Linked DNA regions of Drosophila melanogaster. The protein of the gene in region 2 interacts with the protein of the main gene of each other region in a pairwise test. Each region holds a gene or a part of one and is shown on either strand. Other genes may lie near its edges.

Region 1 (8,090 bases), about 10 Mb from region 2:
TTTCATTTAAGTGCAACAGTTTACATTTAGATATTTATGTCTTTTTCCCCGCCCTCCCCGCACACCTCATGTCATGTCTTTAATTTTAAGCCAAAAGTGTTTGCTAATCATCATATCATGGATATTCAACTACTTTGCCCCACTATCATTTTCGTATGTGTTTTTCGAACAATTTTTATACTACTGGAACTACGAACTACGAAAGGAAACACAAAGATATGTAAAGTACGCCAGCGTACATAAATTATTGTATTATGAAATGAAATATACTAGTTTTTGCATAGCTCGCCGATTACTTTTCTCCATTTGGTTGCGATCGGGAAAATTAGCTAAACACGCACAATTTCTTTGGCTTCTTAAACATTTATTCCTTTGAAAATTGTGTTTTTTTTTTTTTTTGGTTTGGTAGGTCTTCACCCTGTCTTTTTGTGTGCAAGTGTGTGTGCGTGTTCAGGTGTATAATTACAATATTTATAAAAACTTGGCTTAGATTACTAGAATGTGTGGACGTGTGCTTGTGAGAGAGCGTGAAAGCGAAAGGATTGTGTTTGTAACTTGCAGTTTGAGAGCCTCGGAGGTTGCTAAAGTTTCAGAAAAAATAAACGTAAATTGTGCTAAACGTAAGTACATAAATTAAGATAGCTAGAAAGGCGCTCGAGTGCAGAAGACGAAAAACGAATTGCGCTAATTATCACAGCCGGGTCTAAGACGTTGGTTTCGGTGGGACTAAAAGTTGACATATTCATATGTTGGGCACCTCATGAGTGGGTGATGAAAATTGGCTCCTCTGACATTGTTAAAAAATCCGATCATACTTAGTGGTAAAATAATGGGGCTAGATGTCAAAAAATAACGAAGAGCGTAATCTTTCTTACAAAAATCAAAGTTTGAACTTGAGATATTTTAAATATACTTTCAATACAAAAAAACATTTTGAATATGCAAATTTAAATGGTTTTGCAAGTGTTTTCAAAATGATATTATTAAGCTTGATTACGCTTGCTGATTAAATATTTTTGAAATTGGATTCGAAGTTCGGAAACATTGAAATTGAAATAGATTCCACCACCCTTGAGCGGATTTACAATTGGAGTCAGGGATCAGCCCTTTCCTTCCACCACTCATCGGTCACCCAACAATATGCGTGTGCATGGGTGGGCGTACTCCTTGTGTCTGTGTGCGTGTTTGTGTGGTGAGTTGAACAAATCAAAAATATTCAAAAAAATTATCCTCAGGTGGTTGACGCCGATGCCTCTACACCGGTCGCCTCTCCGTTGCTCGCCGTCGGTGGCTCCCGCTCACTTTTGATGCTCGGTGGCGCTTCGTGTGCCAAGTCTAGCGATGGTTGACCAGAAGCTGGCGAGGATTCGGCCACTGCTACGGCTGCTGCAGCAGCAGCCATCTGAAATTGATTGGGCAGGAAAAGGTACGGATTCCTTGCCTCCTGACCCGAACATCCAAGTGTGGTCGCTGGAGCTGGACCCACATCGCCACTGGTGACCGTGTGACTGGCGCTCATGGACATGGGCGTGGAAGTGGGCACAGTGGTCGCTGCTAGCTTGGAGACCCTCTTCCGGCGAGCCTCGTTTTCACATGGCGATGGCGCCCCAGGATGTCGGTAGCTAACGTGCTTGCGCAGGGCATCCTTGCTGCGGGACACATGGGAGCAGACATTGCAGGCATACCTGATGGAATCGAAAAGTAATTCCAAAGGTGACTTCTATTGTTTTATAACAATTAAAATTCAGACCACTTACCGAACATTCTGATGGGTTTCGAGGTGGACGCGCAGGTTGTATTGGTTGCTCAGCTGCTTGTGGCAGATGAAACAGGTGGCATAGAGCTTCGAGTTGGACGGCGGCTTGATGGGAGCGGTGGCCAGCGACTTGTCGCGGTCGGCGCTCAGCGAGAGCAGATTGGGCTCCGACTTGGCGCTGACCAGCGCCATTCCGCCGGCGGCCGCTGCCGCTGCTGCTGCCGCCTCCCGCTGATACTGTTCGATGTGGAGCTGCAGCTTGGCATGATCCTCGGCCGAGATGTAGGGCGATGGCCCGGGTTGCGGGTGGTGGTGCATCTGCGCCGCCTGCTGGGCGGCAGTCGGCGTGACTGCTGCACTATAAAGTGGTGGCTTGCTACTATAGAGTTGACCTTGGCCGAGAGCGCTGGGGTAACTAGCCGAGGAGCACTTGACCACCGGCAACTGAGGGGAGAAGTGTGCCATGGTCGGGGGAGCGAGAGTTACTGGTGAAGTGGCCACAATGGGATTCGGGTTGGAGCATTCCTGAGGCGACTTGCTACTGCTACTGTTGGTCGTCGATGAGGATTTTGGATTCTTTAAAAGGCTTTTTTCCAGTCGCCTAAGCTCCTTCGGCGGACTGTCGCCCTTTAGCCTCTTGGAGCCAAAACAGTCCGTCTCCAGTTGATCCTCCTGCATCCCGCTCTGGTAGAGCTGACATTGCTGCTGATACTTGGCCAACAGCTCAGTGGTCTTGTTGAGCGCCGTCTGCGAGAAGTTGAGTGGTTGGGGCAGCAGACTGGGGTAGAACTGCAGTGATTTAAAGAGATTCTCCAGGGGCGTGGTGCCCATTCCACTGGAGTTCACCGATCCCAGTTTGTTGGCCAGGAGAGGGGTGTTAAGTGCTGCACTTGGTAGCTGGGGCAGGGGGAGTGAATGGCTTGGGGTAGGCGTGTGGGAGGGCGTAAGGGTGGGGGTGGGCGTGGGCGAGGGTGTGGTGGGACGTTCAAACTCAGAGGACTTCTCATTCGTCGTATCCATGTAGGAGCCACCTCCACTTCTCGCTGTTTTTGGTAACTGCTTGGATTTATGAGACCAAAGAGAAAGGCGTATGAGTTTCAGGGAAAAACTACAAGTTTATTTAAATTATCTAACTAGATCTTGCACTTGAGCTACTCACATTGTTGTTCTGGACATCGGCCAGTCCCTTGATGCCCAGTGTCTCGGCCAGGTTGAGCAGCATCGGTATCTGCTCCTCGTATACATTCACCTCTCCGGAGTACATGAAGGTGAGCAGTGAGACGATGGCGCCGAAGCTGGCCCCTGGTATGATGATGACTGGATGGTTACTGGCCTCTAGAGCCCGGAAGATGTCCATAAAAAAGCTGCTGCAGGCACTCAGTACCACGCGATGGGCCCTCAGTTGGCGTCCCTCGGCCGAAATGGTCACATCCGTCAGATGGGATTGGTCCAGCAGAATGGGCAGAGTGCTCAGCAAACTTGTCTGGAAGGGATCAGAGGGAATGGGGTTGGGGATGTGAAAAGTGCTCATAAGTGGGTCACACGATCATAAAAATACAATTTCCTGGGCCCCATGATGCTCCTCTGTCTGCGGTGTAACAGGGGACAGGGGTTGGCTGCAGCTGCTTTCCAACTTTTCGATTTACTCGCTGTGGAAATTCTTTGGATTTTGGCAATTGCACGAATCTGTTCATTTATGTGACACACACACTGAACACTCCTCCTCACTACTCTTTGTCCATTTGGCTGTTTTGCTATTTTGGACAGCCAGTTTCACCGCTGCCCCGCTTTCACCGCATTACACCCTTTGGGCCGAAACACAAAAATTGTCACTATATGAAAATGCGGAAAACTATGTGTGAATCTGTACGTATAGGGGAATGTGTTTGGATAGATGGATCCTATATATAGATGCGGCGACATTTTACTTTCGGCCTGCTCGCTTCACTGAACGATGTCCAGTCCATTCTAATGGATCTTACTTATGAGGTAATGTTGAATATAGTCCCCCCACAAATGAAAATTCAAATGAATTTTATCTGGAGGATCTCACCTGATGGTTATGCCATCGCAGGCAGAATTGCTGTTGGCTGTCATTGTGCTGCAGCTGCTGATCAAAATGATGATGCTGCGGTTGTCTGGCATTAGTGCTATTTACATGTTCCATAATTCATTTGGGTTTGGATCACATGGACCAGCTGCAATGGAAGTAAGGGGGTAAATGCAATTAGTGAATGTGCAAGATGTCGGATGTCGGAGAGGTAAACAAATTCTATTCGCCTTGCCCCAGCCCACTTGGCTTCTTTGTTTTCGTTTCTCATAATTTGTTTGTTTGCATTTCGGTTTGTTTATTTATTGAACGTTTTGTCACACACACTTTTCGTGTCCGCTCTTCTTGGCCGCCTAGAAGAGCGTCTGCACCACGAGGCGTATACGTATTATGTCGTAGCAGTTGGCTTATTACTCATACGCCCCGTTATGCGCAATCTTGCGGGTCGCGGAGGTTGTTTGTCATTGGGGACCGGGAAACGGCATAATTTGATTTAATGACAGCCTGATCCATCTTTAGATTGCTGCCAGCTCCTCCAAGGTATCCGGATTGTCGAGTACTCCTCTATGTTTTGATGACCAAGTCAACGGGCTGATTTACTCGGCCGTTTCGGTGAGTGCCCAGTTGACGAATCGGAATTACAATAAAACAGCACACACACAGACGCACAGACACGGCCAGTGTTATTTGTGTTCTTTGCTGGCAATTAAACCAAATTTATTTAAATAAAATAAGTTTTCCTTGGCTGGCCTGGCCTGGGCGATCTGATCGCAGTGCCACTGTGGGTTTCTGGGTACACTATAAATTTGGCAATTTCCATTGTTCGGATCGCATGTGATGCACTGGGCGGGCGGGCGGTTCACACTTTTGTCCGAGGGCTATTTATAAGAAGCTAGTCCAAGGAAGCTGGGGTGGGTATGTCGGTATGTGGGGGATTTTGGGGATTTCTCGGTCTATGCTGCTGCTGCTGCTGCTGCACCGACGACCATTGGAGGCCCCCCAAAAACAGGCAGCCCGGCCAATGCAAATCCGCAGCGAAGTGACAAGTCCGAGTCTTTTGGTTTTCTTTGCACTTTAGCTAGCCCAGCGTGCAATTGTTGGACGACGGAATTTTCTTCATTCCATTATGTGTGCACATGGGACTGAGAATCGCATCTAAGCATTTCTCTATTGAGAGACGATGGATGGTGGAGGTTGCCTTGCCATGCCATGCCTGATGGGGTACAATGGATGCCTGGCTATGGGATTGGAGGGATGGGGATTGGGGTGGATGGCGACTCGAGATGGAGGGTCGGAGGAGGAGCGGCGCGGCCTTTTTGGCGCTCGTTCACACAAGAAAGTGTTGTCGTGACAGTCAGGCAGCCTTCTTTTCCGTAACTCTTTGGTATTTCGCTCAGTTTTTACTTGATTTTCCGAAATTAGTTTTTCAGCCTTTCAGCTCGGCACCTCCTTCTCCTGTACCGTCCTCTGGCTGTTGTTTTAAATAGCCATCCAAAAAATAAAGATCTGTGCTAAACGCTCTCGCCATGCTGTCTATTTTGATTTGTTGTCCAAGTGCCTGCCTTTTGTCATCCATGGCAATTCATTCCAAAGCACCTCGCAATCGTTTTCATTTCGATTTGGATTTGGCTTTGCCTTTAGCTTTGGTTCATTTCGAAGCTATTTCGTTGATGCGTAATATTTTACACATAATCACTCATACGCCTCGTTGAGAATGTCGAGGGAAGTGGATAGAAAATGAAATCATGCTTAAGCCTTCGCTGCGTTGCCTTTGTTATTGTTGTTTAACTTTCATTTGTTCCATGAAATGTGGCGCACATAAATTTGATGTCAACGCTGTTTTTTTCCGAGAGGTATTTGAATTTCAATATAGAATTCGCACGATCAGCGGTATATGTGAATCACGCATAATCCAGTGGCCCAGCATATCTGCCCCTGGGGAAGTCTAATAATAGAGCTCTATGGCTAACCCTTATGGTTGAGGATCTCGAATTGACTTCTTTTATGCTAATGGGATGCTCGTGGCGATCATCAAATTGAATATTTTCCCTCAACTCATGTTATTTTATGTAGTGTTTTTATGACACGCAGTTTGTTTTTTATCTATCTTTCACATTGAAGATCTCCTTTTGTGCTCGCAGCGACATTACACAATTTACTTGAATAATTTAATCACTCGGTTCTATGTTTATCACTGGGTTCTCGTTAAACGAATCCTTCACATTTTTGTTTTATTTATTTTTCTCTTTTTCTAGCTTTTCACACATATTTTGCTAATGCCATTTTCCCCGCGTCCGTTACGAATTTTCCCTTTCGCGATTTTCGCGACGGGACAAGCGTGCACCTTTGTTAACCGTTTGCTGCTCGCATCTGAAATGAAAAAATCCGAAAATGTTTCAATTCTTTCGGTTTAGTTGGAGATTTTCTATTTTTCGAATGTCCATCTCTTGACAATTTTCCTCTATCTTGTGTTGCTGTTGTTGGTGTTGTAGCTGCTGCTGTTGCTTGTTGGTGTTGCTGTTGGCCCAAATGTTGTTGCTGCTGCTGTTGCCATTTGTTTAGCGGATTCGAATTTGGCTCTCAGCATGTCGGGCGGATCCGTTTGTCGCCCGATTCCATGTTCTTTAATTAATGAGCAGGCCGCATCGGCGCAGCGAAGAGAAATCTCAGCGGTTTTGTACTCGCGATCAGTGTGAAGCCTCTTGGCCAAAAATTAATTGGCTGCCCCGCAGTTAGTTAATCAAAACATTTGCCAGTGGCAAATCATCATGAGGGCATCATCATCATCATCATCATAATCAGGAACTGCGACCACTCCGCCACTAGACACAATTGACACGACTGGCCGACAGGCGGAGGAATTTGTTGGTGCAGCGGCGGCTGCTACTGTTGCGGGATCGTGTGCATTATTAATTTGCAATAAAATGTGGAAGCGGCGACAGCAGTTGCCGCCGTTTGAAAATTGCCCGCCGAAAATAAATTCATATACCTGCGCGTTGGATTTGTGAATTATGCCTGACAAATACAAATGGAACCGCCAGATGGAGACGCCGTTGGTCATCGGGCACCCAGCACCTTCATTATGCACTTTTCAATTCATTAAAATGCCACAAATACTTATTTATTATTGTCATCTGTGCGCACCTCGATTTGGGTTAGCAGCCGCGTAGCTTGGAGGCTGTAAATAGCTCAATGTGTATATAAGCCCTTCACTCAAGGATAATTCCTTACATAAAACGTACGTTAAATGTCAAAGTACCACTAACAACTATCTAGTTGACTGACAATGCAAATGCACACGTGATTGCTATGTACACTCTAAGAAAGAAAAATAAAGTGCATACAGGAAATTATTCATTTATTTTTGATTATGATCAAAGTTAAAGCCTCATCTTAAGAACATATAAATAAATGTATAAAAGTTAATAAAATGATTTGAAATCAACCTACAGATCGCCTAATCTAATCTAATTTATTTAGATCAAAGTTGAGCTTCTAAAGATAAATCTAGTAGCTATAACTAAAGCACTGAGCCTCGCTGCTAGGCTTGCATTGCTTTGTAGGAAAGTCCCAGCCATACTTGTAAGGACATCTCACAATGGTCAGATAGCCGCTGAGGCACCTGTAGTAGTACTCGCACCGCTGGGGATGAGGATGGTCACCATCTCCGGAAATGTCGCAGTGCGGCCTTTCCTGAGCTGGAGAGGAAGGCTTTGCAGATGGGGAGGATGGCGTAGCAGATGTAGTCGGTGGCTCAGTCACTGAAGGAATTGATTCTGTAGGGGTTGTTGTAGAATCAGCTTGGAAAGTAGAAGAGTCCGCAGATCCTGTAGAGGCGTAATCAGAAGGCGGTGTTGGAACGGGAGTGGTTTCTTCGATCCCGCTCTGCTCCTCACCAGTAGTTTGCTTATCGGGCTGCTCCTCAGTCTGGACTGAGTCTGAGTTCCTTAGACACACACCCTCATCATCAAAGGCACACTCTTGGGTTCGATCGTCAAAGTAGGTGGACTCGGGGCAGCTGTCTCGGAAGGAGTCTTCTCCATTGCAATAGATGTATGAAGCGCAATCTTCGATGGCCATGACAAAGGTATCCAATGGAGCATTTGCGCACTGCGGGAAAACTTCGGCTTCAATTGAAGTGAGATATCCTGCCAGGATCAGCAGACAATGCAAAGATAGTTTAAATGACATGGTGCTATTCAGTTGGTTCACTTTATTGATAGAGATGAGGTTTGGCGATCCCTATTTATGGCAATTTTCAAGCCTCATTGCGAAACTCTTATC
Region 2 (4,814 bases):
ACCCCTAGTCAGTTCGCAAATGATACCAACATTGTAAAGCTATGTTCTTTCAGTCATGCTCGTTTCAAAAAAGTCAAGTCATTTCTGATCTATACACGTTTTCCCTCTTGACTCCTGCTTAGTCTATAGTGTGTCAGCTTTCTTTTGACTACGAATTGCAGTTAAGTTGTCCGTGATTTGTGTTTTTTAAAGTAATCAAGGCAAACAAAACTAAGAAACGATAAAAAAAAAGAATCCAACCTGGCGAATGAGATCCCTACCCGATGAACAATGAGCTTTGATGGAACAGTGTGCTGGCTTTTGATTTCCAATTGCGACTTACCCGAGTGCGAGGACTGGGAGTTCGGCGCATCGTGCTCGGATGGTGTGGTACCGCCGGAGATGTCCAAGGGCATCGTTTGGTTCACGCCGCCAATGTCGACTTCGGGCTTCTGCACGTGGGCACCGAGAAGAAAAAGAAAACAATTAGTGACTTTGCTCATGCGGACGAGGGTACAAGGTTAACGTGACCAATTTCATTACAATTTGCATGTGTAAGTGTCCGTGTCCATCGTCAAGATCCGAGTCCTGCGGCTGCTGCTCTAGCTCAGCGCTGGCCGACTCCTTGAGCAGCTTAGCCGCGTGCAGTGAGTGGCCGGCCAAGCCGCCGCCCGCACCAAATGTCATCTGGTTCATCTGGGCGAGACTGAGACCGGCGTTGCCGGCACCACTGCCCGCGTCCAGTGAGCTGTTGTGCTGCTCCTCCGCGTTGTTGCGATCGCCAGAACCTGCGTTATTACGAAAACCGGTTATTTTTTGAGACCTTACAATTTTGGATCTATCACGACGATGCTTTACCCAACTCCAACTCACCGTTATTCGAGGATTTGCGCAAGCGCTTGCGCCTGGTGGCCGGCGAGGTTCCAGCGCTCAAAGGCGACGGCGTACGTCGCATCTGGTGGTGATGCGTCTGCGCCGCCTGCGCCTGTCCGCTCTGCTGCTGCTGATGGTGGTGGTGATGGTGCTGCTGCTGTTGTTGCTGCTGCTGCGCCTGTTGTTGTTGCTGCTGCAACTGCTGCTGCTGCTGGTGGTGATGGTGCTGCTGCTGTGCCTGTTGCTGGGCCTGCTGTTGCTGCTGCTGCTGGAACTGTTGGGCCTCGCTGCTGCTCCACAGGGAGTCGCCGACGCTGCTTCCACTGCCGGCTCCCAGGCTGCCAGCCGAGTTGCCCGCTCCAGTGCCCACTCCCGCACCGCCCACCATCTCGGTGCCGTCGGTGGAGGACTTGCTATCCGACTTGGTAAGATTGGCCGGATCCGTTGGCATCTCCGCTAGGCCTTTGATCTTGAGCATCTCGGCGGTCTTGAGGATGTGCGGCAGCTGCTCCTGCGACACATTTACCTCGCCGTAGTACATAAAGTCCACCATGGTCTTTAGGTCATCGTACTGCACGTCCTTCAGGATGACAATGGGATGTTGGCACGGATTTGTGGTGAACAAAGCCTGTCGAACACATTTGAGTGTAATTCGTAAGGGATATACGCTGCGGCGATCTCCAACTTACCTGAAAGTACGAGCTGCAGGCGGATAGCACTATTTTGTGGGCCTGTAGTTGGCGACCCTCGGCTGCCAGGGTGACGTCCACCAGGGTGCCATTGTGCAGCAGCGAGGAGCACACGGAGATGAAGTTCGGCTGGTGGTTGTTCCACCGCAGGCAGAACTGCTGCACGGACATGATGTCGAGGGGTCCGGATCCGCGTCCGGGATGCGGATTTGGAGCTCCCTAAACCTCAATCTCCGGAGCAACCTCCTCCTCCTGCTCCCGCTCCTCCGCCTCCTGCTTCTTTCCTTCTTCGTAGCCAATTAATTCGCACTGATAACACTTTTTATCGCCTCCCGCTCGCCTCTATTGATTTTTATTAATTTTCCTTGCTTTCCGGTGTTTTGTTCGCTTTACTTTTTCGCTCCGACTTTTAATCAATTTAAATTTATGAACAATCGCAGTCTGTACATGTGTGTGTGCGTGTGGGGGGTCGGGATCACGGTTTTTTGGGGGGCGACGACTTCTATGCCGCACGCATCGCGAGTCACTGCAAAAAGGGGTAATAAAAATGGGGTTTAAATAAATCAAACATTATCGATGGTTACACAAATTGCTCAACAACAAATTCCACTCTCTCGCTTTCTTCCTCTCTCTCTCTCATCTGCTTTTCACAGCTGCGCGCTCTTCTCGCTTACAATAAAAAATCAAACAGAAACAACAACATCGGCGGGACTGCGTGTGTATGTAATTATACAGTCGCGAAAATGAAACACAACACACACACACACTGGAACACAACAGCCATACTTGTTGTTGTTGCTGCTCACTGGCCAAAGTTTTATTTTTGATAAAACCGAGAACGTAACGAAATCGTATAGCTTTTTGTATAGCCGCAGTGCTGTAGACCTTGAATTTTCTTTAATTCTTATGACGTAATTATATACGCGCCCCGCGCTCCTCCATCTCTTTCGCACTTAATCGCCTTCCCCATTCCCGTCTTCCTCACTCTCTCACCCACACAGACGACCGCCGACGACGTACTAATCGCTGCTTCTTCGTTTATTCATCGTATCGATATTTTCAGTTTTCAGTGTTTCAGTCGTATTTATTTATGTGCATGTCGCGCGTTATTTTCGTATGTCTTTTAGAGGCACAAAGATGATGCTCGAACTAGCCAAGCCGCCACATGTTATTCACTCGCTTTTCCCCCCACAGAATTCCTTTTCCTCTTGCTTTTTATCGCTTTTACAAACTTTGACTTTTTGTGGTAGGTTTTTGCTGTTGTATTTCTTCTTTTTCTTTTGCTTTCCAAAAACAAAATGGCGCGCAACAAATTTATGCGAGGGGCAAAACAACGCCGAAAACTGTTAGAGCGAGCTGAATTTCAATGCCTTTGACTGGCTCACTCTTTGCGCCAACTTTTTTACCACTTTTTACATTATTTTAATGCGGATTTCCTGGCGAAAAACGCATATGAAAATTCTTACGTTTTACTTCTTTATGCGAAAGATTTTTGTGACTATATGGCAACTTTGTATACAACGAGTTGACAGGTCGCTTAATAGTGTGACCAGTCCTAGATCAAAACTAGTATCCCAATTGTTAAAGATTGTCCCAAATTTTAAAATAATTTGTTTATTGTATTTAAATGGTTAACATTTGAATTGTTGTTTTAAAATGTTGACTTCGGTTATACATCTGATGAATCACAATCGGCGTTGCCACACTTTCCCCGCATTGTTCGTACTTAACGGAACCAGTTCGGTTCCCTTGGTGACTCGCGAATTTGTTGTTGGCTTTGGCTAGAGATGACAGTATTGAATAAACAACGATAGCCTGCAGCAGTCAAATTAAACTAATTGTGCTTATTGGGCGGCCAAATACGTAAATATCACTCAAAAGCCGTTATAAGGTACAAAAATAAGGGTAAGAATTGTTAAAAGCTGATTTCAACCAGTAAAACACCATTTCAACCCATCGATATTCGCATATCCATGCTCGCCGGTATCGATGCATTTTCCCATGTTCATCTCTAAGCAGCAGCTGCAAAAAAAATCAACTATACTATTTTACATTCGGTCCGTAAAGTTTATGAGAAAAGAGCTGCCTACAGGATTCCAGATACCGTTATGGAGGAACTACGCAAGCATTTATCCAAGGTGAACGTGCCATGCGCATCCGGGGCGGGCAGTCCTCCCATCTACAAGGACGAGTGCGTCTACTCCTATGACAATCCCGAGACGCCCACCGGTTTGTACGTGTGCCTGCACAGCTTTTTGGGCTTCGGCGAGGCGTATGTGCGGGAGTATGCCGACAAGACCGGCAACCGGGTCTTCCTCCACATCCAGCGGGTGAAGACGATCAAGGAGGGCGCCGACATGGAGGCCGAATGCGCGGAGTCGGAGGCAGGACCGGAACGGAAGATCACCCGCCTGGCCATTGGCGTCGAGGGCGGCTACAACGAGTCGGACATGGCCAAGAAGTACGAGATCAAGGACACGTACAGCATCGTGGTGGCTCCGCACCTGGATAAGAAGCTGCCCTATCCGGATCCAGAGCTGCCCATGCGTGTCACCCAGTCGGTGGAAGCGATCCTGGCCGCCGACTCGGCAATTGCCAAGTTGGAGAAGGCCACGCTGATGGGTGAGTTGCAGGATTGTTATCCCATGCTGACGAAGGTAGCCTAAAATCAATAATTTTTCAGGCACCTGGGATGGTGAAGTGCGTCAGGCGTCGAAGTACGCAGATAACCTGCAGCAGCTGGATAATGGCAAGAGGATTCCCCCATCCGGCTGGCAGTGCGAGAAGTGCGACTTGACCAACAACCTCTGGCTTAATCTGACCGATGGTTCGATCATGTGCGGACGCAAGTTCTTTGACGGCAGTGGCGGCAACGATCACGCCGTGGAGCACTACAGAGTAACGGGTTTCCCGCTGGCGGTGAAACTGGGCACCATCACCGCTGATGGCAAGTCGGATGTGTTCTCCTACCCGGAGGATGAAATGGTACTCGATCCACACTTAGAGCGCCATCTCTCCCACTTTGGCATCAACATGGCGGCGATGAAGAAGAGCGAGAAGTCGATGGTGGAGCTAGAGTTGGACATTAACCAGCGCATCGGCGAGTGGACGGCGCTTACGGAGAGCGAAAGTGAGCTGCAGCCTGTTGCTGGTCCTGGATACACTGGCATGCGCAATCTGGGCAACTCCTGCTACATAAACAGCGTGATGCAAGTGCTCTTCGTCATCCCAGACTTCCAGCAGCGGTTCGTGGGCACTGGAGCGGAACGCTAT

Evidence for each region.
Region 1: the proteins of BtbVII (region 2) and CG32121 interact in a two-hybrid assay, tested with the Drosophila melanogaster proteins (one study listed by BioGRID).

What each region holds. Positions count from the first base shown.
Region 1 is NT_037436.4:13,416,172-13,424,261, forward strand, and holds CG32121 (uncharacterized protein), read right to left. Parts: upstream 6,166-8,090; 5' UTR 6,151-6,165; intron 3,955-6,150; 5' UTR 3,924-3,954; coding exon 3,810-3,923; intron 3,240-3,809; coding exon 2,916-3,239; intron 2,813-2,915; coding exon 1,758-2,812; intron 1,686-1,757; coding exon 1,232-1,685; 3' UTR 405-1,231; downstream 1-404. Other genes in the region: CG33263 (uncharacterized protein), read right to left, coding at 7,314-7,997.
Region 2 is NT_037436.4:3,146,881-3,151,694, reverse strand, and holds the start of BtbVII (BTB-protein-VII), read right to left. Parts: upstream 3,050-4,814; 5' UTR 3,008-3,049; intron 2,996-3,007; exon of another isoform or gene 2,958-2,995; intron 2,794-2,957; exon of another isoform or gene 2,774-2,793; intron 2,563-2,773; exon of another isoform or gene 2,535-2,562; intron 2,068-2,534; 5' UTR 1,713-2,067; coding exon 1,542-1,712; intron 1,481-1,541; coding exon 853-1,480; coding exon of another isoform or gene 838-852; intron 768-837; coding exon 523-767; coding exon of another isoform or gene 511-522; intron 432-510; coding exon 323-431; intron 1-322. Other genes in the region: Usp5 (ubiquitin specific protease 5), read left to right, coding at 3,650-4,163, 4,225-4,814.